Bombyx mori: one gene and its partners. The protein of the gene in region 4 purifies or fractionates together with the protein of the main gene of each other region. This does not show direct contact. Links are inferred from orthologs where the notes say so. Each region holds a gene or a part of one and is shown on either strand. Other genes may lie near its edges.

Region 1 (2,890 bases), on a different chromosome or scaffold from region 4:
TACGACTAAGACATAGTGTGAATTGTGGTTTTAAACTGAACGAGACTCATAACCGTGGATATGCCCTCCTGCGCTATTTTTAGATGATTTATTAATTGTGTATGAAGATGAAGAAAACATAGATATTTAGAAAAACATGTGTTTTTTATACCCTAATAACTACAATTGGATAAAATTACATTAGGAACATCTCCCTTATCATAATTAATAAATTAAACATTAATAAAAGAAAAGTTCTTGAAGTAACTCATAATCCAACACTTATTTATATAGAAAATAAACCTCAAAACGATTTTTTTATTTTATTTTATTTTTATAATAGTGGTGTCAATTTCAATATATTTTTTAGATATCCAATATATTTAAGAAACAGTCCATTTTTATAGTAATATTTGATGTCCATCTTGGGCCCAGAACACTATGGAGAGTGGGTGTTCCCCTTTATAATAGTAATTTAATGAAATCCAACTTCACCCTTTAAATCAAGTGAAAGAACACAGTTGATACACATTCTTTTATTAAACTTAATTATCAGTACTGACGATTATTAATATATGGTTGTGGACGCCTCATTGGTGGTGGCATTCTGTTTGGGGGTGTTATTGAGATGTCTAGATAGTTCCCAATTTGAAATTTCAGTTGTGAAAGTGTCTTGTTATCATCGCCTCCTCTCTGTCCGGAACATGTAACTCCTATTTCCCTCATACGATATGTAGGGGAACGCATATCAGGATACACAATGGCAAAATCAAAGTATGTGCCTTTCCGTCTCGTCTCAGGATTAACTTCTTTTACAAGTCCTGTAAGTTCTCGCAGTGTAGCATCCATCCATGTATATATTTGTAATTCATTCTGAGGTACGTTTCCTCTAACATAGTCTCCAGGAGAATTATGTCGGCCAGTTGAACAAAACACACGGAGCAATAGAGGACAGGTCTGAAACATTTTAGGTTAAATTTATATCTCTATATAATCAGGAAAAAGCATAACAAATTTCCTCCTCTGTCAATTCAATTATTGTGTTTTATTTATAATCCTAATGAACGAGCTTTAGTGTTATCGAAAACAAATAGATTGTTACTTTATATCTCACATTTACAAGAAAAAATGTCAATTACGAAACAAAAAAGAACAGAGTGCTTTAGTAGACACAACGGATTTGAATGTTCTGTTGATTATTATGGTCAAATTAAAATCAGTTGGCGAACATTAATTTAAAGTAAATGCTGTTTATAGTAAAAAATAATCAATTATATTGTTTAACAAAGTACCTTTTCTCTGTCCACCGGTTTTTCTGTCGGTTTAATTTCTTCAACTACCATTGATTCTAATCCCGCCATTTTCATAATATTTGGAGAATTGTGGTCCTACTTAATTTTTCCAACTTAAGTAATTATTTAAATTATGCGAGTCTTTAAATACATGTACCGGTAAAATGGGGCGATTAGGGATTGAGAGGCGAATCGGGAAAAAACTGGGAAAATCTTTCGACGCTCAATATAAGTTTTATATTCGTTGCAAAATCTTCCATTTTTTGTAGTTTAATAGTAGAATGTTGAAAGTTCACAAAACAACTCTGAATATGCATGATAATAGCTGCTAACTTATAAAAAATCGCGTTTCAAATTAACTTCCTGTGGTGGTAATTATTTTAGTGCTAGAAACTTTGCTCTCTTTTATTTATTTGATAATAATAGAAAACGACTATGATTTATAAACGTTATTTAGTGTTTGAACCAGCATATATATTAAAGGTAAGTCTCAGTTGTTATTGGTTTTAATGTATTTGATTAAATAAAAATACATGTAAAAATCTGTTGTTTTGGGGATATTGGGGACGGCTTAGGTACAAATAACAACGAAAAAGGGGTCAATTGGGATGAGAATACGTGAAATGGAAACGAACTAAGTATAAATAGGTACAGGTTTGTAGGGTTGTCTATGTAGTTATAACAATATTTTTTAAATTTGTTGGTAAAAATCTGGTTTATTCGAAGCGAAATTGGGAATAAGTCTTTATTTGAAATAGATAAGCAATTTAATATAAGTAAGTCAATTTTGGAGAGACATGTAACAAGATCAATGAAATCTCAAGGTGGACAAAAATGTCTAAGTAATACATAATAAAATATTTAATATTTGTTCAGAGTGGGGGTATTCATCTGATTAATCCATGGAATAACCGACACACCTAATCTCTTAACCCAGATAGAAATATCAGCACTGTCGATTGCACCTATAATTGAGGTGATGTCTGCCATGTACTTTTGTCAGTTTTTCAATTTTTTTTATTGATGATCACTTTGTTGGTGCAACTAAATAAATAAATAAATTAAAACTATATATAAAAATAAAAGTAGTGCCAACCCTAGCAAATTTCTCATTTCGTCCCAATTAACCGCAATTTTCGGGTAAATAGGGATTACACCTATTTTTGCATTTTTTGCTTAAACTGGAATGCTAGTTCCATAATTTTAAATTAGACAACAAAGATGCCCCCAAGACTCAATCATTTTGATCCTGATATAGCATTATATACATCAACAACTACCTTAAAATTGATCATAAAGTTGGAATTTGTCCCTAATCGCCCCATTTTACGGTACCTTTAAACAATTTCTGATGATAAATGATTTTTTTTTTGAAGGGCTTTTATGACCTGGTAACTAAGACCTTTAGGTCAAGTATTATTTTAATTTTAATGATACGTAACTTTTTTAAATGAAAATGATATTATGAAATAAAATGAAGTTGATTATAATGAAACCTAAAGTGAAATGAAAACGAAATGAAATGACATGAGATGAGATGATATGGGATGAAGCATAATCTCAGTAAAATGGTGGTCATTTACTGAGACTTTTTCAGTGGACTTTTTGGAAGATCCCGA
Region 2 (4,190 bases), on a different chromosome or scaffold from region 4:
TCTTGGGCCAAGGTCTAGAATCTGGGAGACATTTGTTATCTCCTGCCGCCATGTAGTCCGTTTGCGACCATGCCATGCTAATTTTCGTCACATCTTTACCGGTTTGTGCAAGTCAGACTGAATTTTTTTGGTGACCAATAAAGAATTAAAATCAACAAAAGCTCCATGGTAAAGATTTGAATTTGCAGACATAAAATAGAGAATTTGTTCCAGTGCATCCCCAACACATACTTAATATTAAACTTCCCTACAGGGAGAAAAATATTAAGGGTTAAAGTTAAAAGATAAGTGTTAAGTTGGTTACCCCCGTCCATGTGCTTCATAGCATTTTCTGCTTCATCAGCATTATTAAACTCAACATATGCGTATCCTCTTCCATTATGTGGGTGAAGTCGGTCCATAGGAAACTCAATTGATTTCACAGTACCATATGTCGAAAATATTTCATGGATGTGATCACGCGTTACATTTAAAGTCAGTCGTCCAATGTGGATACGAGTTGGTCGTGGTGGTGGTGAGCGTTCTCGCTTCTTACGTCCTGGAGATCTGAAGAGAAAAAAAGAAATTCTTATTATTATTTTACCAGGGGCCATAATATGGCGTATTAAGGCTATAATTTAAAATAATAACTGTTTTGTACCGTTCCTGTTTTTCCTTAATTTTAGCTTTGTCATTTGATAAAGGTAACACAGATTTTTTTTTTTCTCCTGTTGGTGATCTATCTCTAATCTTCTCCCGATCAGCATCACGACGATCTTTAAGTGGACTCTTGTTTGGTGAAATTGTTCTAAAAATAAAGAAAATGTATGGTCAGGTTAGCAATCTTAACATGCATGATGCCCAAACATAAAAAAAAAACATTTTAAAAGCTTTGATCAATTTCATTGACTTCAAATTATTATTTTATCAAATAGTGTTTCAATTCTGATTGTATTTTTTTCTCTTTTAATTAGTACTGTAATGATCATGAAATAAATTAATAATTTACTTGTGGCTTTCCGTCCCTGCATTATAAAGAAAACTATATATGAGTCAACTATTATCAAAGCCGGCAATGTGACTTTTGGATAATTATTGGTAAATCAGAAAACAAATTATTGACTTTGTATTCCATTGGCAGTCACAAAACTCTTCCGATCGACATCTTAGATAAATAACAGGTTAAGTATTAACCTTTATTTAATGCAGGTTTTGAACCGTATTCTTTGAAGAAGACGATTATATTCAAATCAATCTGTATTGACATATCAATAATTTTTTTTTGTCCAAATGCACAGATTGCCGCCTTTGATAATAGACGACTCATATATCAGGTTATTACATGAATATTATATTTCCTGAATCAGATATCATATTGTAGAAAAAAGAAGACCTATTATGGGCTTAGGAGTAATCACTTTCAGATTTCTACTAAATTATAGAAAATTAAATATTGTTTTAGTTAAATTAAGTACTGTTTAAATACCTACTGTTCAATATTGTTATTGATTGTTTCAATAACAACCTACCAGTGCAATATTTTTCCATTAGATGTGGATAGGATTGTGGCCATCTAGTGTTAATGGAGCCCTTACATATCACAATATTGATGCAGTCATTCACCTCGAAACATGAGATTGAAGAACTATAACTACGCCCTATTCCTTCAGTACAGAATGTATCATAACATATTTAGCTAACATATAAAGCAGATGGCTTTTTCTAAAAACCTGATTTGCTCTACATTTTGATGGTCTACTCAGCATATACTGTAACTTATTAAAGATCTATCTGACCTTCAACCTTATTGCAGGATTGTATGGAGTGCCCCCCATAATATTATCAAAATTTAACAAAATATGAACATCTATAATGAATTGGTGTTCGTTAGTCTCGCTAAAACTCGAGAACAGTTGGACTGATTTGGCTAATTTTGGTTTACGATGTCTGCCGGTTCAGCTAGTACTGAATAAAAACTTCGCTTTGGCTTAAGAAATTGCAGATTGTTTAATAATAATTATATTAATCCTTATCTTATAATTTTAAGCTTACTTTTTCTTAGGCCTTGAACGGCCATTGTTACTGCTGCTACTGCTAGATGAGCTGGATGATGAAGATGAACGTGATGAACTTCCTGAGCTACTGGATGATGACCGAGAGGATGACCTTGAAGAACTACTTGATGAACTGAAAATAGATTTAAATTATATTGGTTGAGAAAGTAACTCCCAGGATAAGGCTTATGTACTTTCATTATTTAGTTTGTACCAATAATCACTTCAGCAAGATATTAACAATTTGCGTGGGTTTTTTGTATCTATTTGGTTTTTCTAGTAGTGTATAGTAAGTTGACTATTTCTTATTATAACTTCCGTTGAAGAAAGAAAGCCCGCTTTTAACATAACCTCCAAAGAATTGTGTTACAAATCTTAATAATACATTAGTTGGGATACCTTCCACTACTATCACTGCTGCTGGAGCCTGAGTCACCTTTCTTTTTCTTGCTTTCTTTGGGTTTCTTCTTCTCTTTCTCAGCTGCAGGCAAAGGCGATTTATTTCTAGCCCTGGTATTGAAATGAAACATGTTAACGGGCCTCTCTAAATGTACAATAGTAGAATTTTTATAGAATAAGTTGAGGAAACACTTACATTTTCAACCTACTATGTTTTTATTTACGTTTCATGAATGTAAAACCTTAGTAAAACAATGTCGTCTTCGAAATCCGATAGCGTCATTTGCCGACCACGATCAGTTCATAGATAATATTAAGTGTATAATCTATGCATAGATATTATCTATGTTAATACAGATCAGTTGTCAATTACAGATTGTGTAGAAATTATTTAGTTTTTAAGGGATTTTATGACCTGGTAACTGAGACCTTTAAGGCATGTCTTATTTTAATTTATATTCATATTTTTATGAAAAATGATATTATGAAGTGAAATGAAATGAAGATGATTAATTTGACATTGACATCAATCAACTGGGATGAAATTAAATGAAATGAAATGAGATGATATGGGATGAAATATAATCTCAGTAAAATGGTGGTCATTTACTAAGACTTTTTCCGTGGACTTTTTGGAGGATCCTGAGAAGTTACGTCCAGCGGCTTTCTTTTATTTTCCCTCATTTATATTATGAGGGAAAATGAAAGATATTAAACAGTTAATAAACCACCATTATTACACATTTAAACCCGAAAAAACATTAAATAGACAAAATAAAATAAATCACACAACTTCACTCCTCGCGTTCCCGCCAAAAAGTCCTGTAGAAATTATATTTTTAGAGATTTTATGACCTGGTAACTGAGACCTTTAAGTCATATCTTATTTTAATGTATATTCTTAATTTTATGAAAAATGATATTATGGAGTGAAATGAAATGAAAATGATTAATTTGAGACATTAATCAACTGGGATGAAATTAAATGAGATGATATGAGATGAAATCTAATCTCAGTAAAATGGTGGTCATTTACTAAGATTTTTTCAATGGACTTTTTGGAGGATCCCGAGAAGTTACGTCCAGCGGCTTTGTTTCATTTTCCCACATTTGTGCACTTTCACAGATATTAAACGGTTAATAAACCACCATTATTACACATTTAAACCCGAAGAAACACTAAATAGACAAAATAAAACAAATCACACAACTTCACTCCTCGCATTCCCGCCAAAAAGTCCGTAGAAATTATAGAAAAATCCATAGAACAGTATGTACTGGTAAAACGGGGTGGTTAGGGACAAATTCCAACTTGATGAACAATTTTAAGGTAGTTGTTGATGTTTAAAATGCTATATCAGGATCAAAATGATTGAGTCTTGGGGGTATCTTTGTTATCCAATTTAAAGCTATGCAATTAGCATTCGAGTTTAAGCTAAGAAAGCAAAAATAGGTGCTATCCCTATTTACCCAGAAATTAGCTAGAGCTTGCACTCCTTGATTTTAATCAATTATTTTATTTAGTTGCAATAACAAAGTGATCATCAATAAAAACATTGAAAAACTGACAAAAGTACACGGCAGATGGCATGAATTTAGGTGCAATCGATAATGCATTGACAAAAAAAAAAAAAAAAAATAACTAAAACTTGATTACATTTAATTACTTATGATTAATTTATATTTGCTTGGGAAATTATCTGTGACAGATTTTTGAAGTTGTAAGACAATTAGAAAAAAAACATCTATTTCATCACT
Region 3 (3,500 bases), on a different chromosome or scaffold from region 4:
CAAGGACAAAGACAAGGAGCGACGGAGATCGAGGTCCCGGTCGCGTTCCCGGCGCCGCTCTCGCGACCGACGGCGCTCGCGAACTCGTTCTCGTGATCGTTCCAGTGACAGAAAGTTAGTAGTAGACGTATATTTTCCAGGTAGCAGCATCCATTGCTGGTGGTAGTAGGGGTGGATTGCACATGGATACTTAATACTATGCTGCCCATTTAATAATACAAAACAATAGTGTGCTTAGTTGAATAGCGGATCCTCTGAAATTAAACGCTTAAAATCATTAACAGAGTAACAGTCGCCGTTTATCACTATGCCCACATAGTGATAAGGAGTAAGCATTTGGAATATATTTTTGAGAATGTAAAGGTTGTCTGTCATACATATATTAAATTAGTAAAATTCGAGTTAGTCTATTCATGGAGTAAAATAGAATATAAAAGGGGTTACTACTGAAGAGCAGTAGAATCACCATGTGACTATTTTCTGTTGGTTGTGCACATTCGGAATTACATTTATTTATCGCCAGTCAACTGATTAATTAGGAGTAGTAGTAGTATATATTGTTTTATTAAAATTGCGTGTTGCTAATTAGTTACGATAATTACAAATATTTTTTAAATTGTGTTCTTGTACTGTTAATTGTTAAATAGCAAAATATATTCGTATGTATAATTTAATAAGAAAAAAAACTGTCAAAATCATAATTTTAGTTTTAACCTGGGAAATGGTTAAAGAGCTACCATTGATCTATCTCATTGCTGAGTATGAGTCACCACCCCCAACGTGGTACAAAATCGTCGCCCAAAACACGTCATGTCGGATCATCCCGTTCTACTAACGGAGCTTTTAGGTACTTCAAGCACCTGTCATCGTCTAACCCGTCGCTTGCGACGAAGGGCTCGGCGAGTAAATTAACCCATAGACACAGCTCACTGGGTTTCTCGCCGGATCTTCTCAGCGGGTCGCGTTTCCGATCCGGTGATAGTTTCTGCGAAGCACTGCTCTTACTAGGGTTAGGTTTGAGACCCCGTGAGCTCACCTACTTGTTAAGGTTACGCTGGTCTCTGAAGGTCATCAGCTTAGACAGGAAAAAAAAGGTACGAAATGTGGAGCGTGTAGCTGAGGATGATAGCTAGTTAGACATAAGATAATGACCATTAAAATTACTCTAGGCATCGTAACGGCGGAAGTCCGCGTCGATCGAGACGGCGCAGCAGCCCGATCAGAGACAAGGTCAGCCCTGCGAAAACTGAACCGGAAACCAAAGGTACTGTTAATGTAGACGTAAATAAAAATACAATGATAGTGATAATGTTAACATAATAAACTTGTTGGTGTGTTGTTTTCACTTAAATATGATTGTATTGTAAGATTTTGCTTCTGTTATCGTTGCGAAGTAAAATGTCTACATTATCTTTTGTTAACTGGTTATGGGGCGTATTGTAAGCCCGCACGGGTAGATACCACCATTCGGTGTATTTGTGCGGCAAACTAGTCCTGCGTTTCAGTTTGAAGGGTTGGATTGATGTTATACAATGCAATTACTCTTGGCGACTCATATTTACTGTGTTCATATATTATAACGAAATTGTATATTATAACAAAATTGAGACTTTTTTTTTTTTTTTTTTTTTTTTTTTATTGCCTTTGTAGGCAGACGGGCATACGGCCCACCTGATGGTGAGTGGTTACCGTCGCCCATGGACTTCAGCAATGCCAGGGGCAGAGCCAAGCCGCTGCCTACCGCTTAATACTCTCCACAAGCCTCGTTTGAAGAAGGACATGTCATAGCGCTCGGGAAACACCGCGGAGGGGAGCTCATTCCATAGCCGGATGGTACGTGGCAAAAAAGATCTCTGGAAACGCACTGTGGATGACCGCAGCGGCTCCAGGTAGTATGGATGAACTCTACTCCGGTGGCGGGCGGTGCGATGGTAAAAACGAGATGCTGGTATCATCTCGAACAATTCCTCAGAGCACTCCCCATGGAACATACGGTATAAAATACAGAGGGAACCGAAGTCCCTCCGCAAACCCAGAGGCTCCAAACGAACCGAGAGAATGGGATTATCGACAATCCGAACGGCCCTCCTCTGTATGGAGTCAAATGGAAGAAGCTGGTATTTGGGAGCCCCGGCCCAGAGATGAGAGCAGTACTCCACGCGAGGCCGGACTTGTGCTTTATAAAGCAAAAGTCTTTGTCCAGGCGTGAAGTACCGCTTCGCTCTGTTGAGGACTCCCAGCATTTTGGACGCCAACTTGGCTTTGCCTTCCAAATGACTCCGAAACTGGACATCGCTCGAAATGTCGACCCCAAGTATCCCGATACTCTCGGAAGGTTGCAGGGATACTCCTTGGAATTGCGGCGCCATGACAAAGGGGTCCTTCTTCGCAGTGAACGCGCAAACTTGTGTCTTTATCGGGTTGAATTGAACCAAGTTCAATTCACCCCATTCGGAGACTCGCCCCAGAGAGTTCTCCACTTCAGACACAAGTTTTGATCGTCTCTCTTGCACCACGCTCCGAGAGAGACTCTGATGGCCGATATATCGCGCATCCCCCGTGCTATCATCTGCATAGCAATGCATGCCATCAATAGACAGCATGTCATTGATATACAGGATGAAAAGCGTGGGGGAGAGCACCGAACCTTGTGGAACGCCAGCGTTAATGGTCATGGTATCAGAACAGTCACCGTCTACAACGACCGTGATGCTCCGCCCATCCAAAAAGCTAGCGATCCACTTGCAGAGACCCTCGGGGATTCCGTAAGATGGTAACTTCGATAGAAGTGCCCTATGCCAGACCCTGTCGAAGGCCTTCGCGATATCAAGGCTCACAGCGAGAGCCTCGCCCTTGCTCTCCAAGGCTTCAGCCCACCTGTGAGTAAGGTATACAAGAAGATCGCCAGCTGAGCGACCGTGACGGAAACCGTACTGTCGGTCACTGATCAGCTGGCGATCTTCAAGATACTTCAGGAGTTGTGTATTTATAATTCGCTCCATCACCTTGGAAAGCAAGGAAGTTATCGCGATAGGCCTGTAGCTCGATGGGTCCGACCGGTCACCCTTCTTGGGGATAGGGTGGACATGAGCAGTCTTCCATGAAGACGGAACCTTGTTAGTGCAATAAGAGAGGCGATACAAACGCGTTAGCGCAGGTGTCAGCTCAGGGGCGCACGTTTTCAAAACCACTGCGGGGATGCCGTCTGGCCCACTCGACTTATGAACGTCCAGGAGTCGGAGCTCCCGCCTGACTGCACACTGTGTGAAGCAGATATCCGGCAGGGAGCTATCACACCAGGGGATGCTCGGTGGTGTGGCACCCCCGTCGTCCATAGTCGAGTTCGAGGCGAAGAGTTTGACCAGAAGGTCAGCCTTCTCTTTCGCGCTGTGGGCCAGATTGTCATCGGACTTGCGCAGTGGTGGGAGACTAGACCTGCAAAAGTTTCCTTCTGCAGCTTTGGCGAGCGACCAAAAAGCACGGCTCCCGGAGGGATAGCT
Region 4 (4,165 bases):
GCCCATCCAACACTCAACAAAAGCCCAGAGGCATTATTACATAAATGCTGTCTGTAAAGGTGATCCATATCTCGTTTACATTAAAAAAAAAAGAGCAATTGTATTTTTCATATTAAATCACTAGTGATATTAGTTCACGAAATTCGAAACCATTCACATTTAGATCTTGAAAACTAAAAGTCTTCAAGATCGTATTGTTTTTATTTTAATAGAATTTCCATTACCTTTGACCAGAACGAAATTCCTTCATAATGTTGTCTCTCTCTTTCTGTGGCATGTCACCATGCATTGAACTGACAGTGAAGTTTGCCTCTTGCATCTTCTGTGTGAGCCAGTCAACCTTCCTCTTTGTATTACAAAATATTACTGCTTGGGTAATTGTCAGTGTATCATAGAGGTCACAAAGTGTGTCAAACTTCCATTCTTCTCGTTCAACTGCCACGAAGAACTGTTTGATACCCTCCAGTGTCAACTCATCACTGTAGAAAAAATGATTCTTAATTTCAAATACATTTACCATGATAGAAAATTTGTTTACTTAATTACTATTTAGCTTGCATAGGTTTATGTGTTGAGCAATTAACAAAATGATAGTCCATACAGAAATAAGCTTCATCCTAGAAATAGTATAGTTGATAATGCTAAAATAAAACAGATAGTTTTCTACACTTAATGTAACTTCTTTTCTTAATCTAAATCTCCTCTAGTGTTTCCTGAGTACTGTGACATAATTTTATTCAAATGAGATATCAGGCAAATAACCCTTAGCGTCACTAGTGTCCATAGGCGGCAGTAATCACTCACTATCAGGTGGACAAATTCCTTCAAGGGCAATATAAAACAAATATTTCATTTAACTTAGTGGGTGGATGAGTTCAAGGCCCACGGTGTTAATGGTGTTAAGTGGTTACCAGAGTCCATAGACACCTAGAACAGCTTTGCTGTACTGAATTCCATGGGCGATTGTCACCACTCACCATCAGGTGGGTGGTATGCTAGTCTGCCTACAAGGACACTAAAAAAATAAAATGACATGAGTTCTAGTGTCTCGCATTTTACAGTACAACAGCTGACCCACCGTTCAAACCAAAACACATTACTGCGTCCCAGCAAAAATAGACAGGATCGTGGTACCTACCCGTGCGGACTTACAAGACATTCCTACCACCTACCACCAGTAATTACGCAAATTATAATTTTACATGTTTGATTTTTATTATAAGATGTTATTCCTTCACTATGGAAGTTAATCGTGAACAATTGTGAAGTACGTATTTCATTAGAAAAATTAGTACTTGCCTGCAGAATTCGAACTTTAATGTGTATTTTTGAAATAATCATACAAACCGTTTTACTAATATCCTTATTGGATCAGTCATAAACTTTGATGTCATTTCCAATATCTCATGGGGTAGTGTTGCTGATATTAGCACAACCTGAGTTGCAGGAGGCAGATAGCGGTATACATCATAAATTTGCTCTTTGAAACCTTTGTTCAACATCTCATCAGCCTCATCAAGAACCAGCATCTTTATTGACCGGGTTCTCAACACACGCCTTCTGATCATATCTGAAAATAAGATTGTTTTCTTATAATCTAGGGCACCCTACATCTTGCAGTGGATAGATTATTTAACTTTTTCAATTATTGCACAAGGATGACAATTTATAGACACCATCCCTGTTCTGAGATGCCTGAAACCATACACATGGGTTTGTGGTGAGACTACTGTAGTGAGTAGTACTGTTGGTGAATTTGAGAAGTGGAAGTTAAGTTACTACTTTCAAGAAATAAAAAAGGTGAACCAGCCAGATAACAAAAAAGATCACAGAAGGTTTATCTTTGGTTTTGGAAACTAAAACAATTAGTACTTATTTACTTGGATTAGCAATTTTCATTTATTTACCAAAAACTCTGCCAGGTGTGCCAGACACAACATGCTGTCCGTAATCCAATTTCCTTATATCTTCTCCAAGATTGGTACCTCCAATACAAGCATGACATTGAACGTTCATGAAATCTCCAAGAGCTAATATCACTTTCTGAATCTGAGTAGCCAGTTCACGGGTCGGTGAAAGAATAAGTACTTGAGTTTCACGCAGAGTCGTGTCTAAAGTCTGTAGTATTGAAATTGAGAATGTCGCAGTCTTTCCTGTACCAGATTGTGCTTGAGCTATTACATCTCTGCCTTTGACTATAGGCAAGATGCTTCTCTGCTGAATTGCTGAAGGTTTTTCGAAACCTGTAAATTAACGTTAGTTATTACTAAGTGGTTACCGGACCCCACATACACCACAATACGGAATCTACCAGCCCCCAAGGTTTAACAGTGCGATTGATTTTAAATGTATTGTAAATTAGTATGTCACTCTTCGAAGCCGGAACGCAGAACTGTTGCGAAAAAACAGGACGACAGTCTGACAGACGGACGACCATAATACGGTCTAAAGCTGGTAAGATAATGCCCACATGATCGTTTATGTAGGCAGTTGTAATAATTATAAATAACACCACAATTTGTACTAACCATATGTGTATATTCCTCGCAATAACTCATCTCGAAGTCCCATGGAGTCAAAAGTGGGAATAACTTCGACATCTTCACTCGTGTCGAACTCAACATTCGACAAATCTTCCGACAATATTTTTCTATTGGACGATACTTCAGACGATGTCATTTTTCGAATCTAGTTCGCTTCTAAGTTTTTAAAATAACAAGTTATACGATAGGTGAAAATCTCTTAGAATCTGAATTTCTAAATTACTAAAGGGAAACTTAAGAAACTGTGTCCATAACCATAGATAACACCATAGATAATGAATTTAATTCCATAAGATAGATAATACATTTCATACATAAGATCCATAGACTATTAAGTGATTATTACGCTTTTATTAGCTCCATACCTATGTAGGTATGTAACGGAATCTTTGAATATGATTTTGACCACCTTCAAAATGTCAGATTAACTTGAAATTTGGCATACTTAGGTATTAAGGACCGATGATAATTCAATATTTTAAACAGTAGACTCGTTATTTAATTTCGGCAGTCAAAACAACAAATTAATTTTTGCGCCTTCTTTTCTTCACTTAGAAAATTTGGAAACTGTTTTATTTGCCTGAATGCACATTAAAGAATAATTTATGATAGATAATAAGTAAACTAAAAAATGAAAAATACATAATAGTTTAAAAAAACTAAAATACATGTTTTTATAGAAAATCCAACTAAAAAATGGAAAATAATGTAGTGTGCAACAACGTTACTTCCCACACATCACAATAAATTTATTTAAAAAAAAGCGTGGGATGCTTTTTATGAGATTATCAAAATGATAAGACTTAGCTAGCAATTTCTGTCAATAAAATATTTAAACTATTGACGCCGCGCATCTCACGATTTTCTATAAAAACGTGTATTTTAGTTTTTTTTAATTATTATTTATTCATGTATTCTTAAGCCGCGATAACCGGAGTGATGGTAAGAACTCATCCGAAAATAATGTGATTGTTTATAGTACTGAAAGGCGACGACGCGGGGGCTCATAGCTACTGACGAAACCCCTTACTAAAATAAATTAATAATGTTGATTTGTAGATAGTCTGTGGTTTCAAGAGTCACAGGTAACAATCTAAAATGGAAAAGAAATAAAACGGCTATAGATTATACACAAAGTAAAAAAAACGTGATACAAAACGCGAAAGAAGAAACGTTAAAAAAAGAAAGTTTTAGAGCGTAACCAGCAAAAGATATAATGCGGCTACAAATTTTAAAAATACATGTATTATATGATTCTATAATTTAACTGTTGAAATTGTTAACTGTGCTTTACAAGATTAATTTGAGATCTAAACATTTTTTCGACTGGGTCGAAACAAAACGCAATTAACAACGCATTCGTTCAGAGGTCGAACTGGTCGAAGGAATTTCGTTTTAATTTGTGGCCAAAAGAACGACCGTATTTGATTTTGAACGAATCAAAATGGATGCTGGGTGTGAATGAACTGTATACTGAAACCAACAGCTTTTCAATAAATTGTGTCGCGGGTTCGATTGATGATAAAATTCCTACGTAGGGGTATGAATTTAAAATTTTAAACAGTGAGCAAATCAGATTTCTTTCCTTTGCAGTCACTTTGCTTATTGTTGAAATCAGTAGT
Region 5 (4,003 bases), on a different chromosome or scaffold from region 4:
ATAGCCTGAAAAATCACAAATAAGTATTTCATATTATCACTATTAATTGTAAATTGTCGATATAAAAACAGCTTTGAGACATCAAATTTTAGTTTTTAATTTACTAGAAATATATTTTATTTTCGTGTTTTTGTTAATATAATATTGAAATTCACTTATATGTTTATTATATTATTATTGTCATGTTCGCAAAATGTTAGCATAGAATATATAAGGGAAACTTTCATAAACTTGCCTTAGACATTTTCCGAGGACCTCTCTGATAAACCTGGGTTTTGGATGTTCAGGATCTAATTGGAGACACGCCTCCCAATCTTCCCATGACCATCTGTACTGGAAGTTGCTCAAATGGTAGGCAAACCAGTTCGCAAACCTTAAAAAAAAGACTACTTTAAAATATTATTTACTATTCAACTGTAATCTTCTTTAAGTGATATTTAAGATAACAACATTCTTCTATTCAACATTGTATCATTTTGTGAAATATGCTTGAACAGAAAACCCCAAAATAAAATTTTATATTGTTCATTAATTATCCCATAGCTATACACATGCACATACATACATTTAAAGAAAAATATAAATTAAAAGATAAGGTGTAAGTGTCTTGAGTCCACAAAATTAAAATGAAACTATCAATGTATTCAAATTTCATCCAAGGTTAACATACCTGTCAAAGCAAGCAACATTCATGGTGTCAATCCTCATGAACAAAATTTCAGTAGCTTGAGCTAGAACCTGTGGCATTGTTGATGGCTGAAGCTTGCAAAGTTCAATTAATATTGAACCATAACATATCTCCAAATACCTTGGTTTTGGCAAATTAAATAATTCAGCAAATATCACCTCAACTATGCAATATTCCAGAGGAATTTTGGCTTTGTAAGGAAAGCAGAGGAGTTGAGCAGCACATTCTTTACGTTCTAAATGATATGTCTCAATAATATTGTGCAAATGTTCTTCTATCAAGAATCTCTCTATAGAGTGCACTCCAGGCAAAACTGGTCCGTCTGGACAGTCTGTGTAGTCAAACATACGGAATATAACCCGAGGCATTGGATAAGTATCAGTGTCATTATGGGGTGGTGGCTGAAATATAAAAACATCATCAATTATTACCATATGATTTGTAAACGAAAATATTATATTGGTGCAACTTTTTAAAAAAAGTTAACTTTTTATTAGTTTTGTTACCGCATTTATTAGTCAATCTTTACATGTAACATTTATTTATGGCACCCCTGGCACACAAGCTGAAATAAATTAGTCTGCAACCTTTGCTTGAAGAAACACATGTTCTTCAAGCCTCGAACTTCCACAGGGCAAGTTACTTCTAGTTCCAAAGTGTGTGTAAGGTAAATTAAATAAAATGCACTAGAAGTGGGCAGCTCCAGATATAACTAGTAAACTGTACTTTGGTGGTAATGAACCATATAAATACCATAATCGAATACCATAATCGAACAAAACCAAAGTATGTAAACTTTAACTAATTTGTATTAGAAAATCATAGTATATCTATTATAAATTCATATGATACCTGAATGGCAGGAAGTGTGTGTTGTAAAGCTTCACAAAGAATAGAGTCAAAGGCAAGATATGGCCTTGGAATATGTTTCTCTGACCAATTGTCTTGTTTCAACTTCTTTATCTGAGACCAGAGGCAATCCAAATATTCTTCTTGTAAATGAGGTGAATCAGCCGACCACACCTTTAAGGCTGGCCAATGTTTCTTACTCCGTTTATTCAAGAAAACCTCTATAGTCACAAGTAAGTGATCTAATTGAGATTCCTTCTTTTCATACAACTCCCGACCAACCCAAGGTAATGCTGACAGCACCGCAAATACAAACCAATCCCTTCTGACGTGAGGTACTCCATCTTCATTAGCAGAATCTACTAATGTCTCTAATAAAGTCAGCAATGATGAAGCAGCCAATACGTGACAGTTCACCAAGTCCGCAATGAACCTTAGACAATACCTAGCAGCATTCCATTTCCCGACTTTAAGATTTTCTTTAAAGGTTTTTACTATGTAATCAACAAATTCTCCACCAAAGTTATAATTCTTTGCATTCAACAAACCAACAAGAGTTGCATAGATTGTACATTTCTCGGGCATGCGGATAGCACAATCCGTTAGTATCCGTAGTATTTTAACTCTAAAGGTACTCAAATCGGCTTCCAGTACACTTGCTAATCCTTCTAGGTTACTCTCCAAACTGGAACTACTTTTTTCGCCAACTCTTAAAATTAAGGACTCTAAGCGATCCTCGATTTCTTGGTTTTCAGATACACGACGCCTTTTCCGATGGAGGCGTTCTGAAAATAGTAAAAACAATTACATACTTCACAATGTACAAATAAAATTAAATATAACCTGTATATGTTTGATCTTAACAACTCACCATATCCTTCTTCATCATCATGTCCTCTACGACGGTTCATAATAAAATCACTGTGCGTATCACAAATCTTTGACTTTTCTCTTTATGCTTTTGTTTACGAAATCGTATTTTACGTTTAGAACAGAAAAAACGATAGCAAACTCAACAAGCTTTGAATAAATTTTCAATGTCTTCAACTCCGAAATCTTGCGACAAAGCAGTGCTGTCAGATGACCGTGTGAATTTCCCTCCAACTTTTTTTTAAAACCCCCCGAAAAATAAGCTTTTTGAAAAAAAAAACCAAAACAGCTTTTACTTAATTTAATGAAGAAATAAAATACAAAAGTATTCTTTTATTGGAACGAAGTTCCTTACGGCAAGCTTGGAGGGGATAGGGATTTTGCTGCGCGACCGAACTGAAAAAAATGTGATAGTAAAACCGTAAGAAAAAATCCGTGGAAAAAAGTGCGTGGAATAAAACCGTTAAATGAGACGTGCGCAGGCGCGACAGTCGCATACACAAGCGAGTAGTGTATATACCTTTCTCTTTCTCCTTCTTACTTTTCGTTCTCTAATCCCTTCTCTCTCTATTTAGTAATTATTTCTATTTCTATGTAATTTTATGTTGTCAACCAAAAATAAAGAGATATATTTTGTTATTTTAATTGATAATTTGAATTACTATTTTTTTTATTTTACGTAATTTATTATTTTCTAAAATACTCAATTTCCTAAATACTTTCCCGTGCTTAAATAAAAACTAATCAGCAAAATTTAAGAGAAAAACCAAGAAAACCTACATAAAATTGAGCACCATTTCTTTTTTTGCAAATTGTGTCGATTCTACATTAGCCCAAGGAACTTCGTTCCTACCTGGTGTCCCACGACACCACATCTTTTTTATTTTTTAATCAAGCTATCCCATAACTTCAACCACCTCTAAAAAATTTTTTACAATCATATTCACTTTCGTTTTTATTATATAAAGAATACACGTTTTCGGAGTTAAAGATTAAAAATCTTACATGTCCGATGTGGGAACAAAATTTATGGATCCTTATGGCAGTGAATATTGAATCTCGAGAACCGCTTCGACAGTTTCTATTGCCTATTCATCCGGTTGCGTAATTTTTCCTTTATAATATTGTTTTGTGCATAATACGTATAGTAGATTATAAATATTCTAATAGTGATGGGAATTGTGTTTGTGGATGAATTATATAGTGCTCAAAAAACCTCCGAAATTTCTCCCAACTACCTTTTTCCCCCCAAATGTCCCCTAAAGAATCTTCCCCGCCGAATCTCATCTTCAAGGTCAAAAAACCCCCGAATTTGCAGGAATTCCCCCCCATCTGGCAACTGTACGACAAAGTGACAATCTTGAAATATCGTGTCAAGTTGTCAACTGTCAGGACTTTTTCTTTCAGTAACTGACAGTAGAGTTCATTTCCCAAAGGTCTTCATGAAACATCATTACAGCCTATCTTTTATTAACTATTTTTTAAAAAATGATATGGTGCGTAATAAGGTGAAATTGATTTAGACTGTAATAAATTGGGATGACACTAAATAAAATGAGCTGAGATGGGATTGTAGCAACTAAAAAATCCACTGTC
Region 6 (4,195 bases), on a different chromosome or scaffold from region 4:
AATGATCACAGTAGATCTACTTTTGATAGATGGAATTAAAAAATAACATACTTGATCAGTAACTTGTGGCTCTGGCAGCACAAGTTTGCTGCGTTTTCTTGCCGGAGCATCACCTTGTAGCATGGCTTGTGGCACATCATTTTCCTTGCGTTGTTTTAACTTTTGCTTATCCTTGCGACGTTCTCTCTAAAAATATTAGAATAAAATTTTGTAATAAAATAAAATCTTTATAATTTTTAACCACAGAATAGATAGGTAGAAAAAATATACATGAATATAAAAAAAATGTAGATAGAAGCAGCATCTCATATTCCCTACTTCCTTACTTCCCTAACTTAACAACTTTAAGTATAAATTAAGTACATGTAACCAACCTCCTCTTTCTCAGAATGTAATTCACCGTCAAGGTGTTGTTGTCGGAGTCTTGAGAAATCAGGAGCCATGGGATCAACTACTTCAGTCGAAGTGTCATAGAAACCAGACGCTGGTCTCTTTTCAAATGGTATCTCAGCATTATAATCAACGCCACGTTTTTTTTTACGCCTGGGGAACAATGAAGCATTATATTAATAATAATATTATTATAAATAATAATAATAATAACAGCAAGTAGGCTATCAGCTTGTTCATCCGCCTATGCAAAGACAATCTTAAAAAATATAAAAATGTTACTCAATTTTACACGACCAATTGAATGTAAAATATTTACTTTTTTTTGTCTATTTCATATACATATAACTTATTGTGTTTTTAAACCTTAATGGTACAGCTATCCCAGCAGCACTGAGTTCCCTTCGCTTCTGTAGTGCAGCAAGACGACGGGCCTCTTCTAATTGCTTTTCACGAGCCTTCCTTTTAGCTTTCTTACCCTGAGTGTTAGCTAAACGTGCACGAGCTTCTGAGAGCATCTCCAATTCTAGTTATCAAGAATAAAATTATAATCAAAAATCATGAAACAATACAATTCTAAGCTTTGGCTGTGAAGTACATGTACAGCACTCGTTCTTTACCCTCAAAGTCTATAGTGTACATTTTCTAAATGGCCTCTCTAGCTGGTGTAAAAGTATCACTCTTAAAGCCAAAATTATATCGTGATCAACAATAATTTTTTATCTAGTCTTCATTTTTATAAATTTGAAGGAAAAAGATCATTGTGACACAAAAATGAAACACAGCACGTGTAAACTTCTGATGTTGTTCACACATACATTCTTAAAGATATACAGCTAAAATGAGTATATCACTTATGGGACGATGTAAAAACTTGTTGCTGTTGTTGAAATCAGCATGAAGTGCATCATCAACATACTTGGAATTCATAACTATCACTAACTTGTCTTCATTTTTAAGAGCTAATGGTTCTTTTTACATTCTGTGTTTTCAATTATGCAAAAATATACTAAACTATACAGTGAACTCTAACCTAAATTCACATTATTAACTGAATTCATAACTAAAAGACTAAATGATTTTTCAAATATGATTTGCTTACCATCTTCATCCATATCTTTTGGATCAGGTCTAGCAGGTTTTGTTTCTGGATTAGGATCAATCTCACCAGGCTTCAGCTTACGTGGATCATCACCCATGTCCTCACCTTCCTCTTTCTTTTGGGCTTGGTCTCTAGATGAGAATTAAAGGAGTTTACAGAATTTTATAATATTCATAGATAAGCATCTGTGGTCTGACAGATTGTGTTGTGAACCTGTGTTTTTGTTCCATTTCTGTTCCATTTGCCGAAGATCCAGCATTTTTAAACTGGAAAATATGCTTGAAAGAAGAATGCTTTAAACTTGAAAAGCGAGATAGCCGTTGCATAAAACAATTGATTTCCACATTATTTCTAAAGCTGTATGGCAGTCACATTCACATTATGATGTCTATGAACCCCATCTGTCTATTTAGAATATTAAAATAATTGTATTTAATCATCACACAAACTACAAGATGGTCAATTCAGATCTCTAGTTCTACACTATCTATCTTGCTTACTGTTGCCTGATTTGTTTAGTGTGATTAATTATTGATGCTAACACCAAAGCAACTTTTTCAGATACCTATGTGAGTGATTGAAACCAAACCTAACTACTTTACTCTGTTTTATTAGATACAAGGAACTCAAACTTAACAAGATAATTAATTACTTACAACAAATATTCGTATCTTTCCAAACATTGTGCAGCAGTACGTCCGATGATAGGAGCAATGGTCCTCCACTGAGTTGGCATCAATTTGGCCAAGTGCAACAACTTCTCGTCCTCTTCTCGGGACCATTCTGTTTTCTTTATACTTGGATCTAACCACTCGTACCAACGGGCTTTACATTGTTTTGCAGATTTACGATGGAGCAACGAAGCTATACGAGACCACTGATTTTTCCCATATTTCATTACAGCCGCTTTAAGGATTTCATCCTAAAGTGACACACAAATAACATTAGTATTAAGGAATCATAAGAAAGTATTAATAAAGAATACAAAATAGTAAAATAACAAACCTCGGTGTTGCGCCAAACGCCACCTTTTATCATAATCCGGGGCATGTTGGATAGTGTTTATTCAGCTTATAAATAAATGAAATCAATTAAATTTGAATAACTACTACTTAAATATGCAATAATTTTCATTAAAACGTCTCCATTTAGCGAAAATTTAATAAATTGAGATGTAAGGATAAATCAATGAAATCTAAATTCTATAATCCATCGACATTTTTTTTTGTACAAATTTTCCTTATTAGGAAAGGCAAGGGGATCTAAGCCCATATAGCCTTTAATCCATAGACAATACATACACAAGATATAGGTAAAATAAAAATTTCAATATATATATTTTTTATTTTATGACCTAACGTAACATAGACCTTTAGGTCATATCTTATTTGTTAAACTATACAGGGTGTGTGAGAACTCAACGTCAAGCCGAAACGGGGTGACAGGATTGATTGTAACCATCATGAGAAAAATCAGAAAAAAAATCTATCCCATCCAGTTTGGAAATTATGGCCATTAAAAACCTAGAAATTTGGTCAAACTTTAACCATTTTTCGGTTATTGTGGTTAATTTTTGTTATTTTTGTTCATTTAAACTTTGGAACCGTAACCCTACATAACATTTCTAGAACCGCACTCAAAAATAATGACACAACTGCCCCAAGTTTTCTCATATGAAGTCGTCGTCGCCTAAAGGATAAGACGTCCAGTGCATTCGTGTTGAGCGATGCACCGGTGTTCAAATCTCAGGCGGGTACCAATTTTTCTAAAGAAATACGTACTCAACAAATGTTCACGATTGACTTCCACGGTGAAGGAATAACATCGTGTAATAAAAATAAAAGCCGCATAATTATAATTTGCGTAATTACTGGTGTTAGGACCTCTTGTGAATCCGCACGGGTAGGTACCTCCGCCCTGTCTATTTCTGCCCTGAAGCAGTAATGCGTTTCAGTTTGAAGGGCTGGGCAGCCGTTGTAACTATACTCGAGACCTTAGAACTTGTATCTCAAGGTGGGTGGCGCATTTACGTTGTGGATGTCTATGGGCTCCAGTAACCACTTAACACCAGGTGGGCTGTGAGCTCGTCCAACCATCTAAGCCAAAAAAAAAAAGAAAAAAAAAGCCATCATGAGAAAAATCAGAAGAAAAAAATGTGTGTGTGCATGTCACACACATTACGTGTGACACGGTAGAAGTGAAACTTATAAAAATTAAAATAATCGCAAGAATCAACCAACCCGCAGTGCAATGGAGCAGCCTCACCCTGTGGAAACCGCCTGCATAATCACGGTATCCCTACGCCAGGTAAGTATGATTTAGCTTTTTTTTTCCTACCTAAGCTGATAGCCTTGCGAGGCTATTTCAGCAGAACCTTAACTAGTAGGTGAACTCACGGGGCTCAAATCTGACGACGTTGCTAACACGAACTCTAGCAAGAGCCGTGCTTCGCAGAATCTACCACCGGATCGGAAACGCAACCCACTGAGAAGATCCGGCGAGAAACTCAGTGGGCTGTGTCTGAGGGTTAATTTACTCGACGAGCCCTTCCTCGCAAGCGACGGGTTCGACGGGAACGGTGATCGGTGCTTGAGGTACCTAAAAGCACCGTTAGTGGATCGGGAGGATCCGAAATGACGTGTTTGGGGTGATGTCGACTGCTTTCCATTCTTTTGATTTAGCAAGAGAAATACGAGAACATCT
Region 7 (4,228 bases), on a different chromosome or scaffold from region 4:
TCGATATATATAAAAATGAATTGCTGTTTGTTAGTCTCGCTAAAACTCGAGAACGGTTGGACCGATTTGGCTAATTTTGGTCTTGAATTATTTGTGGAAGTCCAGACGTTTAAAAGGTAAAATAAAATTTTGTTTTTCCTTTGATGTGTCCCCCGTTGGACGGATTCCTTTTGTTTGTTTTAAGTTTATTTTATACAATAGTTAGGTCTTTTATTTATCGATTGAGGCACTACGAAGTCTGCCGGGTCAGCTAGTTTAATCAATATATTTGGCCAATTAAATGATATAGTAGTCAGTTAATGTAGTAATGGTATGTAGTGGTACCTGTCACCGCCGCCGCCACCACCGCCACCGCCGCCACCGCCATAGTCTTCCTTCACACGTATATATGTCACCTCACCCTGGAAATGAATATTTAATAGACGTCTAAATCTTGCACTACATGACACTGCTTGCTTTTTAAATTTCTTGAGTTGATTGTAAAACGCTTTTACAGTGTAATATAGCTTTCTTTTCATTCATTTTATAATCTTCATCATCTATGACCATAAGGTCTGTAATATCAAGATTAAGAAAGTATGGTTCAAATTTGATCCATGGTTCAAATTTCTTTTGTAATATCAATATGAAAGCAAACTCAGTTTACTTAAGCTGAGATGATGTTTTGTTGCCTCACATCTCATTTTACATTCCATTTGTTCTTTTCAATCTCATATCAGTTTTTCTCAAACTGAAATTACTTTACCATAATTGACAAGTGAATTGTTTTTTAAAAAAAATATTTAACTGTATGTTGAAAGGACAATCTCATTTTTTATAATTCAGTAAACAAATTGGTAACAAGTATGGGCAGAAAAAAACATTGAAAAAAAAAAAAAAAAAAACTGGTATTGCAAATAATCAGAAAAAGGAGACAGCTTAGTCCAACCTAGCTAAAGAATTCAAAAGTTTGTTTTGCTTACTTTATTTACTTGAGTTTTACAGAATGCAATTTTGGACATTATAGATATCTACTGAGTTTGACACAAAATAACAGTTGTTGATTTTGAGCAGCTATTTGTAAATGAACAGTTTAAGCACTATCCCATGGTTTAATTTCTCCTTCATGAGCCTTAAACTTCTAACTAATTCAAATTAAACTATAAAAGTATTTGACACAATTGATTATCTTGAAACTTTTATGTCCACGTTGGGTAACAATGATAAAAAATTTGGGACAATCCACCAACAGTACTGTTCTTTCACATTACAGGTTATGTTTATAATTATTTTCAAATAAAGTGGAAGAAACTAACCTCATGACTCCTAAATCTAGAATCATCTAACTTTTTAACAGCATACTTCATATCTTCATGCCTCAAAAATTCCACAACACCAGATCCATCTTTAAAGGTGTCTGCAAAGCATACGTCGCCGGCCTCTCGCATATGGTCTTTGAGGTCCTGCCAGGAACCCGAGGGCGGTAAGCCGGTAACGAGCACGCGGTATTCAGAGCGTCGAGCGGGCGGACCACGTGCTGCCCCTCGTCCACCCCAACGGTCACCACCGCCTCGAGAACCACGAGAGCCTCCACCTCCACCTCCACGAGGGAACTCGACTCGAAGACGGTACCCATCATAGTCGTAACCATCCCTGGCTCTTACTGCATCATCTGCATCTCTGAATTCCAAAATAGATTTTATTAAAATAACTTGTCTCAGATTAATTTAGGTAGATATGACTGTATATTCTACTAGGAGTGAAACAAGGCAGGCTCTGAGCTGTGCACCTGGTATTCTTGACGTTCATTAGTGACAGTAACAACTCACCATGAAGTGGACATATCTAATAAAAGAACCAATCACACACAGTTTTGACATCACTCATTGTGTAATTTTAATTTAATATGTTGTGTGTTTATATGTGTGTTATAATTTTATATAATTGGCAATAATCAGCAAATTTTATTGATTTTAATTTTTCTGAAATAATTAGAAATCATAGGTGAATATTATTAGATTTATGGATACAGGTGCTCTGGCAGACTATTAAATCTGTGCCACCCTTCATATATTTTAATATGTGCCAACTTTTAAACTAATTAGTTGTCAATTAATCATAAAATAATAAATGATTAATTGTTAATTTAAAGTCCCATTTTCATTTATCAGTAAAAATGTTTACTTAATCTGTATCTGTATCTGTGGTGTGGAAAATTATATTAACGCTGAATAAAATTGTTCATTTCGCTATAGTCGGGTACAGATAGCGGTGTATGCGGCATAACGTATGCGCTCTTTTAAATCTTCTTCAAAGGCAGCTGAACATTCCGTCCACCTGACACGGGATGATTATCGCTACTCAGACATGGACAACGTTAGTAATATAGATAGCCCGTTTCTCTTTTCGAATTCAACACTCACCTGGGATCCTCAAATTCCACGAACGCGAATGGCGGACCTTTTCTGTTCTTTAGGTCAACGAACGTTACTTTTCCGAACTTGTAAAACAAGTCTTGAATATCCTTTGTCCTTATGTCCGGTGGTAAGTTTCCAACATATATACGACACTCATTTCTGTTGCTACTGCTTCCACCCGACATTATAGCTAAAGAATATTACTATTGCTTAAACGTTTACTTATTATTATGTTGGCTTCATCGACTAATTTCACCAATCCGACGCTTTACTGTGTGTAATTGAAAGTCGGGCAATATGGCGTCAAATGTCAATGTTCCGATTTTGGATCACGGTGGATTTGACAGAAAAGAAAACGATAATCATGAAAACGGAAGTGGAAAAACCTGGTCATAGATTATAAATATGTGGCTGTATAATTTTTACAAAAGTCCGTGTGAAAGGATTTATACAAAGATGTGTATGTAGTCGTCCGGCACATTTTAAAACTAAACACCATAAAATTGAATAATTAATCTGAAATGTAGTTTGCTTTTGGTGATATCAGGATCAGGACACTTATCATTCTTTCCTGCTTGTCCGGAAGTTTCTGTGTCGAAATCAGTACCTATAGCGTGTTTTATAGGTCTTTCTAATTTCGAGCCCGCTGCCCTTCACTTTTGTTAAATGGAAATTAATATATAGGCTGATCAATATTGGCAGTTTCGAGTTATGTTAGTAACATTAAAGTATGGGTTTTCCCATATAAAATCAGGTAGGAACTTACTAGAGAACTTGTACTTGAACTTGTGCTTAAGGTGTCATCTTCTTGAATGGATTAAATAAAATAAAATAAAATAAATAATACAATAAGGCTATGCGTCATGATAATCGCCTTATTGGTGCCACCGTTGATTACTCCTCGAATTCTAATCATGCAGGAGCCAGTCACCGTTGATGCCCTAGACACGTCCTTACGGATCCATCAGATCCAATAACCTTTGCATTAGAAGCCTTCAGCTCTAACACTAGTAGCAGGCTCAGGGACCCCGGTAACCGTACTCATAGAACTCGACAAAGAGTTCGACGTGCAACCTAATCTATGTATCAGCCCGCTGAGTTTCTCGTCGGATCAGCTGTCAAAGCAGCTACTCTTGAGTTGATAAGTCTCCTTCGGAGGCGCTCGGGCAGCTGTTAAGTAATCCCACCCCTCCTGGCTGCGCTTTTGCTCACCTAACTGTCCTGGTGAAATTAGTGTAGGGGAAGCTTAACGACCGAGGGAAGATCTTCCATCGAGCTGGTGATATTGCTCGGTAGACCGACGGTCCGAATGCTGTTGTTCGGAACTTGTATATATGCGCTTTAACTTGAAAATGTCGTAAGCGAGATTCAGACATCTGTCAATTATCTTGCGTTGTATGATGGCTACCCGCCACATCACTCCCCTCCGAGACTGGAGGTCGTGTCATTTTTAGTTAGCGTTGTCCATGCTGAGATTAGCTTGCAAGGGCCAGTGCTGCTCGAAGCCTGCGGTGAGTCGAGGCTGAGCTTGAATTGCTGCGTGATTGTCGCTAGTGCTGCTCGTAGTCTGCGGTGAGTCGAGACTGAGCTTGAATGCTGCGTGATGAGGCAGTGTAGGTGCGTGCCGTAGGAGCAGGAAGCGCGGTGAGTCAGCTGCGATGGTCCTATCGAGGCTGCGATGCTGGCTTGCTGTGGGACTACTGTCGATGACTTGCTTTTATCTGCGAGAATTGTGGTAGCCGAAGTTCTTGATGCGCTGATGATGAAGTGTGAAGGCTGCAATGGTTTCGTCGCAGGTCACCAGTTTGTAGAGATATACGACAAAGGGGAGA

Evidence for each region.
Region 1: the proteins of eIF4AIII (region 4) and histone deacetylase complex subunit SAP18 fractionate together in Homo sapiens (co-fractionation; 3 studies listed by BioGRID and IntAct, with this or other methods). This does not show direct contact. The link is inferred for Bombyx mori from reciprocal best matches to the Homo sapiens genes EIF4A3 and SAP18.
Region 2: the proteins of eIF4AIII (region 4) and ribonucleic acid binding protein S1 fractionate together in Homo sapiens (co-fractionation; 3 studies listed by BioGRID and IntAct, with this or other methods). This does not show direct contact. The link is inferred for Bombyx mori from reciprocal best matches to the Homo sapiens genes EIF4A3 and RNPS1.
Region 3: the proteins of eIF4AIII (region 4) and serine/arginine repetitive matrix protein 1 purify together in Homo sapiens (affinity purification with mass spectrometry; 3 studies listed by BioGRID and IntAct, with this or other methods). This does not show direct contact. The link is inferred for Bombyx mori from reciprocal best matches to the Homo sapiens genes EIF4A3 and SRRM1.
Region 5: the proteins of eIF4AIII (region 4) and nuclear cap-binding protein subunit 1 purify together in Homo sapiens (co-immunoprecipitation; 3 studies listed by BioGRID and IntAct, with this or other methods). This does not show direct contact. The link is inferred for Bombyx mori from reciprocal best matches to the Homo sapiens genes EIF4A3 and NCBP1.
Region 6: the proteins of eIF4AIII (region 4) and cell division cycle 5-like protein purify together in Homo sapiens (affinity purification with mass spectrometry; 3 studies listed by BioGRID and IntAct, with this or other methods). This does not show direct contact. The link is inferred for Bombyx mori from reciprocal best matches to the Homo sapiens genes EIF4A3 and CDC5L.
Region 7: the proteins of eIF4AIII (region 4) and serine/arginine-rich splicing factor 1A fractionate together in Homo sapiens (co-fractionation; 4 studies listed by BioGRID and IntAct, with this or other methods). This does not show direct contact. The link is inferred for Bombyx mori from reciprocal best matches to the Homo sapiens genes EIF4A3 and SRSF1.

What each region holds. Positions count from the first base shown.
Region 1 is NC_085129.1:7,373,308-7,376,197, forward strand, and holds histone deacetylase complex subunit SAP18, read right to left. Parts: upstream 1,595-2,890; 5' UTR 1,347-1,594; coding exon 1,272-1,346; intron 937-1,271; coding exon 532-936; 3' UTR 501-531; downstream 1-500. UniProt on the Homo sapiens protein: Component of the SIN3-repressing complex. Enhances the ability of SIN3-HDAC1-mediated transcriptional repression. When tethered to the promoter, it can direct the formation of a repressive complex to core histone proteins.
Region 2 is NC_085114.1:7,346,484-7,350,673, reverse strand, and holds the start of ribonucleic acid binding protein S1, read right to left. Parts: upstream 2,801-4,190; 5' UTR 2,631-2,800; coding exon 2,629-2,630; intron 2,544-2,628; coding exon 2,433-2,543; intron 2,167-2,432; coding exon 2,032-2,166; intron 788-2,031; coding exon 641-787; intron 547-640; coding exon 305-546; intron 1-304. UniProt on the Homo sapiens protein: Part of pre- and post-splicing multiprotein mRNP complexes. Auxiliary component of the splicing-dependent multiprotein exon junction complex (EJC) deposited at splice junction on mRNAs.
Region 3 is NC_085128.1:8,258,078-8,261,577, forward strand, and holds part of serine/arginine repetitive matrix protein 1, read left to right. Parts: coding exon 1-114; intron 115-1,169; coding exon 1,170-1,264; intron 1,265-3,500. UniProt on the Homo sapiens protein: Part of pre- and post-splicing multiprotein mRNP complexes. As a component of the minor spliceosome, involved in the splicing of U12-type introns in pre-mRNAs. Involved in numerous pre-mRNA processing events.
Region 4 is NC_085131.1:3,885,419-3,889,583, reverse strand, and holds the start of eIF4AIII (eukaryotic initiation factor 4A-III), read right to left. Parts: upstream 2,801-4,165; 5' UTR 2,680-2,800; coding exon 2,529-2,679; intron 2,244-2,528; coding exon 1,908-2,243; intron 1,571-1,907; coding exon 1,348-1,570; intron 480-1,347; coding exon 225-479; intron 1-224. UniProt on the Homo sapiens protein: ATP-dependent RNA helicase. Involved in pre-mRNA splicing as component of the spliceosome. Core component of the splicing-dependent multiprotein exon junction complex (EJC) deposited at splice junctions on mRNAs.
Region 5 is NC_085127.1:11,154,228-11,158,230, reverse strand, and holds the start of nuclear cap-binding protein subunit 1, read right to left. Parts: upstream 2,801-4,003; 5' UTR 2,449-2,800; coding exon 2,409-2,448; intron 2,323-2,408; coding exon 1,541-2,322; intron 1,090-1,540; coding exon 671-1,089; intron 374-670; coding exon 236-373; intron 6-235; coding exon 1-5. UniProt on the Homo sapiens protein: Component of the cap-binding complex (CBC), which binds cotranscriptionally to the 5'-cap of pre-mRNAs and is involved in various processes such as pre-mRNA splicing, translation regulation, nonsense-mediated mRNA decay, RNA-mediated gene silencing (RNAi) by microRNAs (miRNAs) and mRNA export.
Region 6 is NC_085115.1:11,711,888-11,716,082, reverse strand, and holds the start of cell division cycle 5-like protein, read right to left. Parts: upstream 2,801-4,195; 5' UTR 2,543-2,800; coding exon 2,498-2,542; intron 2,415-2,497; coding exon 2,149-2,414; intron 1,624-2,148; coding exon 1,493-1,623; intron 917-1,492; coding exon 757-916; intron 544-756; coding exon 375-543; intron 187-374; coding exon 52-186; intron 1-51.
Region 7 is NC_085122.1:429,901-434,128, forward strand, and holds the start of serine/arginine-rich splicing factor 1A, read right to left. Parts: upstream 2,801-4,228; 5' UTR 2,582-2,800; coding exon 2,403-2,581; intron 1,660-2,402; coding exon 1,296-1,659; intron 402-1,295; coding exon 325-401; intron 1-324. UniProt on the Homo sapiens protein: Plays a role in preventing exon skipping, ensuring the accuracy of splicing and regulating alternative splicing.